Kluyveromyces lactis: one gene and its partner. The protein of the gene in region 2 interacts with the protein of the main gene of each other region in a pairwise test. Links are inferred from orthologs where the notes say so. Each region holds a gene or a part of one and is shown on either strand. Other genes may lie near its edges.

Region 1 (2,696 bases), on a different chromosome or scaffold from region 2:
TGCCGCCATTTGCCACACCACTTTCGTCTGCATGTTCTGCTCTCATTTCGCTGTTTTCACCAGTAAAGTTATTGTTTATCGTTTCTGGCATCTTTAGATTGTATATATCCTTAGTAGACCCAACCAAACAGTTGATTACGGAGGTTTTGGTCTTATTGCCTCTGTTATGACTAAAATACCTTTATCAAAAAAGACGACCTGTAGCCTTTATCTATGTTGAAACTGTCTATTTCCTTTTTCCTTTTTTCCTTTTCTTTATATAATACCTGAATGCCATAGTAATCACGGAAAAAAAGCATTTCGAGACTTGCTCATTATAGCAAATGGGCAAGTCTCATGTGTCATCTTGACCTAGGAGTGCATCAGTACTGCACAAGGGAATATTCTGTGATCTAAAGATGCGAAATGGTTGAATTTGGGGTATGTGGGTTGTATATACAATACAGACTATGTAGTGTTTTTAGTTCTCCATTTTAATGTTTCATGAGAGTTCGGCTCCTTCACAAATCGTCGGATATACTGTTCAAGTTAATAGATTGGCCTGGTTTGAATGCGGGGAGGCCTAGGTATGGACATCCGGAACATCTGAAGGCATCTCCTAGAGCACATGAACCACAACCTCCTACTTTTTTACCCTCTATAGTGAAATCGATTTCTGTCAATTCTTCTTCCGAGAATTTAATGACTTGTTGTTGCTTAGCTCTTCTTGACTCTATTTCTTGTTCCTCCATCTCTTTAAGTCCACATGAACAATCCTTACAGGCTTTTCTTCTTCTTTGCTTGGATTTACCGCACTGGATCATTGTGATTGTATCCTCTTCGGTTTCTGCTATTAAATCGTCTTCATCAATTGAGTCTCCGGTCTCTGGATCATCGAAATCATCAAAGAACTTGGTTTTAGAGTTGTTTGCAGAATCGTCACTTTCGAGATCATCGTCATCGTCCTCTAGATCCGAGTCAGTAAGCTTGATTGCGGATACCTTTTTAGTCAGTTTCTTAAATGTAGGTAATTTCTTCAAACTAACCGCAAGTCCTGCCGAGGGTGACGATCCAATAGGTTGTGTTTTATTCAGCTTCTTGAAACTTGGTAAAGCAACAGGTGCACTGGCTCCATTCTTCATGTTTCCCTTTAATGATATGCTCACTGGAGCCTTTTTCTCTCTAGATTCTTTCACCCAATAGTACTCTGACCCATTATTACTAACAATTTCAAACCCATTAATTAAAGCATCCACTTTCAAAGTATCACTTAATCCATATAGTCTACCTGAAGGTTTCAACGTCTTGTGAAGCACAGGTATTAGTTTTGGTGGAAACTGAATGGCTTCTGGCTTTTCAGGAGTCACATAGTATATTACATCGTACTTCTCATCATCTGGAGAAATAGTACCATCATTTAGTTTGTTAATCAAATACTGAGCAACTATAGTAGTCTCAGACAAGATTGAACCCTTCTCAATAGTTTCCAATAGCTCCGGCTGTTGCGTTACAGCTGGATGGATCAAAACCAACGAGTCTCTACTCACAGTCATACTTTCTTTGACCTTCTTTTATCTCTGCTTCCAGTTAGTATAAGGGGAAATGAGCAACAGTGAACAGCTCAATAATAAACCGGTATTAAACAGTACTGTGAAATAAGACTAAGTAGTGTATTCTCTTGATATTAGTTCAGCACCCATATAAAGAAAATCTTAACTTGTCCTGCTGTCCGCTCTTTATCATGAACATAAGAAAACAGTTACTCATCTTTCCAACTTCTTACTCATAGAAAGATGATTAAGTTCTTCCAAATATATTCCAGATGTCAAGCTTCGGATTTCCTGAGTAATCAAGAGAAAAAAAAAAAAAAGAAAGTATATCATGGCACGTGACTTACGGGCCAAAAGTTAGATTAGTAAGACAACTGCTGGGTTGCCGGAACCGGTTAATACGATGGACGGTACCGGAAGGACCTGTATGTCTGGTATTAGAATGTTACAATGGGGTGATAGTTATGTATGCATTTATGTATAGCTTTTGTGTACCGTTGTGATTAGAATCGGAAGGTTGGTGTTGTGATGACTATGGCGGGTTATGCGTCGGTGGATGGTGGCGATGTTACGGTTTCGTGTAGACTCTTGACTTCATCGATTTCATTCACTTCATCATCTTCCTCTTCGTCATCGTCGTCGTCGTCGTCATCGTCATCGTCATCATCATCATCATCATCATCGTCATCGTCGTCATCATCATCATCCAAGTTCTTCTTATCAGATCGATCTTCTTCATCGTCGTCATCTTCGTCTTCATCTTCTTCGCCTTCCTCTTGGTTTTCGTCTTCTGGATACCCTCCTAACTTCATAACCACCTTGTCTACGATCTCATTACCATCCATCATTCCACCAAGTCCTATATCACCGTATATCCCAACAACTTTCTCTGATGGTTTGAATACGGTAATCCAAGGCATTTCTTCTTTAATCATGTTAAGGTGTCTCTTCGTGATGGAAGAGTTATAACTGTTGCTTACCATGGATGGTGCCAAAAATATTGGGAACAGTGGATTCCAAGCTCTTATTACACTTGTCAACAAATTATCACATAGGCCCAAGGCAATCTTAGATAAGGTGTTAGCAGTAAGAGGAGCCACTACGAGAATGTCTGCCCAACGACGGAGTTCAATGTGTAATACGGGATCCGTTCTTTGCTTCCACGCG
Region 2 (3,552 bases):
TTATTAAAGATTAAAGAAGATCTCGAGAGATTGGAGAAAACTTTGGCAGACGACCCAGTGAAACTTGTCGTGGAAGATAACGTTTCCTTGGAAGGTAATCCAAAGCAGGAATACATGACGATGGAAGAAGTCGATTTATGTTCTCGCCATTTGAAAAGATCTTTGGAGCTTGTTGTATTGGAAGTCTTCAAGAGAAAGTTGGCAAGTATGGGTAACGTGAAGGGAGAAGAGTTGAAGGTTAGATGGATTCAAGCTTATTTCCCATGGACTGCACCATCATGGGAAATTGAAGTGTTCTGGCAAAACAATTGGCTTGAGCTCTGCGGTTGCGGTCTTATCCGTGAAGACGTTTTATTAAAAGCTGGATATGAACAAAATCAAAACATCGGTTGGGCTTTTGGATTAGGCCTTGACCGCATTGCAATGCTATTATTCGAGATCCCTGATATCAGATTATTCTGGACCCTTGACGAAAGGTTCCATTCCCAATTCAAAGAGGGCACAATCAACAAATTCAAACCGTACTCTAAATATCCAGGTACCATCAGGGACGTGGCCTTCTGGCTTCCAACAGATAAGAACTTTGACATTATCCATGAGAATGATCTAATGGAAATCGTTAGAAACGTAGCAGGAGATTTGGTTGAATGTGTCAAATTAATTGATTCATTCACACACCCCAAAACCGGTAGAAAGTCATTATGTTACCGTATTAACTATCAATCAATGGACAGAAACGTCACCAACGAGGAAGTCAATGAGCTGCAGGATAAAGTTCGTGATACCCTGGTGAAACTATACGGCGTTGAACTGAGATAACCAAGATACAAAATATTATATATAAATTCGTCGTATTTACTAGTGATGCGATTTCATGTTAATAGTATAAAAAAAATTCATTTCAATATGTAACGGTTAGTGATCAATAAGATCTGTGGGTAATTAGTAACCATACAGTTCTTTTTGAACACTATCTAAGAAGAAATACAACGACACTGTCATTAATTCATCGTCTGTTCATCGTTATTATCGCATATCTCTCTTAACAGCAAGATTTCAAGGTGAAAAATACTGAGATAGCTTACATATTACATGTGATGAACATCAAAGATTATATACTGTAAACGATTCAAGACACATTTAAAGCTGCTAAGAAGTATTTCGGACTACTGAAACCATGCAGAACAAGAAGATTGTCATATTGTATGGTTCTGAGACAGGAAATGCGCAAGATTTTGCGCATATTCTTTCTCATAAGTTAAAGAGACTGCATTTCTCACATACATTGATTAAGATCGGTGATTACCATCCGAAAAGCGTTCTGCAGTGCAAGTACCTGTTTATCATCTGCTCTACGACTGGACAAGGAGAACTACCGCGTAACGCAAGAGAGAACTGTAATGGACGGGCTCAGGGGACTCTCTGGCAGTTTTTGAAGAAATCTACACTTCCTGCGGATCTTTTAGATCATGTTAACGTTGCCATGCTTGGGTTGGGTGATTCCTCGTATCCAAGATTCAACTTTGGTATCAGAAAGCTTCATGAACGTATTGTCAATCAACTTGGCGCTAGTGAGATTTTTCCACGCTTAGAAGCTGATGAGTTGGGACTTGCTGGGAGTAATAAGGATACTGGAAATGGAGTTGAATCCGTCTACTATGAATTTGAGAAAAGAATCATCGCCTACATGTTAGAGAAGTACCCCAACAGAAAGCACGATGGCAAAATGATGCCCAGAGTAGGCCTAGCCGAAGATGTTTACTTGAAACCGAGCAATATATTAGAAATATCCACTGTTAATGGATCGACAAATGATCAGCTACCTGATTCTAAGATTCAATTTGTTGGAGATGAGACAATAAGACATGGAACCGTTAAGAAAAACAACCAAATAACTGCTAAAGATCATTTTCAGGACGTTCGACAATTTGTGTTTGAAACCGAGGATCATGAAGCCTATCATCCAGGCGATACAGTTTCTTTATATCCCGAAAATTCAGACAATGACGTTGAATTATTCCTCGAAGCTCAACCTCATTGGAAGAAGGTCGCTGATGAACTTCTTACAATAACAGACCTGGAAAATTGTGATCGGTTCAGAGATGGTGGTGTTGTGAAACCACTTACTCTAAGAACCTTGTTAAAATATCATTTTGATATCGTCAGTATACCTAGGCAGAGCTTCTTCATGAAAACTTGGACTTTTGCAAATGCTCACGAAGATAGACCAACCGATCAAGAGCTATTAGAACAACAGAGGGATAAACTAAGACAGTTCGGGTATGGACAAGACCTACAGGACTTGTATGATTATTGCAATAGACCAAGAAGATCAGTATTAGAGGTTATACAGGATTTTGAATTCTTAAAACTTCCATGGGAGTTCGCATTAGATTATCTACCCATGATAAAGCCCAGATTTTATTCCATCTCAAGTGCACCATCTGATCCTAATGTTGAACTAACTATTGCTATTGTTCGTTATAAGACTTTGTTAAGAAAGGTACGGAAAGGACTATGCACGAACTACCTACTTACATTAACCGAAAACGATACAGTTCGTTATAAACTTCAAAATAATCATTTACTTCATGAAGATATTATTGGCAAACCTATCATCATGACTTCTCCGGGGGTAGGTCTCGCACCAATGAAGTGCTTGATCGAGTCTAATTTATTCAAGGATCAGTACTTATTTTTTGGTAACAGAATGAAGGATAAGGACTTTTTATATGAAGATACGTTATCTATGTGGAAGAAAGAAGGTAAAATTAATTTATTCACTTGTTTTTCGCGGGATCCCATAAATTCTCCTCATGCTAAGTATGTTCAAGATCAGTTGTGGAATCAATCTAGTCTAATAGCAGACCTAATTTTGAAAAAATCTGCCATAGTATATATTTGTGGATCCTCCGGTAAAATGCCAGTTCAGGTTAGGTTGACTATAGTTGAGATCCTGAAAAAACATGGAAACTTCGAAAACGCAGAAGAAGCCGAGCATTATCTAAAAGAAATGGAAAGAACTGACAGGTATATGCAAGAGACATGGTAGTTCAGTCAAGATTGAAAAAAGCGTCAACTTCATACCACACGGTATTTCTTGGAAACTTAAAGGGGTTCTTTGAATCATCTCCAACCACATGCTTTTCCAAGGCCGAGATTCTACCCATTGCCCATTCCCTATCTTTCAATAATTCGTAATTAGACGTTGAGTTTCTAAGAACGTATTTGATATCAGTATTTGTCGCAGTGAAAATTGCCCATACAACATGCTTCTTGGCCGAATCTTGGGTGTTAACATTGAATGTATCCGGTCTGCCATTAGCGTTGAGTGCAGGATTCCTGTTCGCTTTACTTAATGGAATATTTTCTGTGATAGAAGCAGAGCTTCCGTTAAGAATGCTAGCTGCAATATCAGACTTGACAACATTTGGACGTTGCATAACAGACTGTGTAGATGAGTTTAAATCAATGGATGAAAATGAAGAATTTAGCGACGATATTGAAGAATTTAATAGCAATTCCTGATCGTTGATTGGTAAAAAAAGAGCA

The links.
Region 1: the proteins of TAH18 (region 2) and DRE2 interact in binary tests that used the Saccharomyces cerevisiae proteins (3 or more experiments, as listed by UniProt). The link is inferred for Kluyveromyces lactis from reciprocal best matches to the Saccharomyces cerevisiae genes TAH18 and DRE2.

What each region holds. Positions count from the first base shown.
Region 1 is NC_006042.1:1,504,121-1,506,816, forward strand, and holds DRE2 (electron carrier DRE2), read right to left. Parts: upstream 1,533-2,696; coding exon 501-1,532; downstream 1-500. Other genes in the region: TMC1 (Tmc1p), read right to left, coding at 1-91; phosphopantothenoylcysteine decarboxylase complex subunit VHS3, read right to left, coding at 2,072-2,696. UniProt on the Saccharomyces cerevisiae protein: Component of the cytosolic iron-sulfur (Fe-S) protein assembly (CIA) machinery required for the maturation of extramitochondrial Fe-S proteins.
Region 2 is NC_006038.1:1,061,500-1,065,051, reverse strand, and holds TAH18 (NAPDH-dependent diflavin reductase), read left to right. Parts: upstream 1-1,177; coding exon 1,178-3,052; downstream 3,053-3,552. Other genes in the region: MSF1 (phenylalanine--tRNA ligase), read left to right, coding at 1-819; autophagy protein ATG11, read right to left, coding at 3,054-3,552. UniProt on the Saccharomyces cerevisiae protein: NADPH-dependent reductase which is a central component of the cytosolic iron-sulfur (Fe-S) protein assembly (CIA) machinery.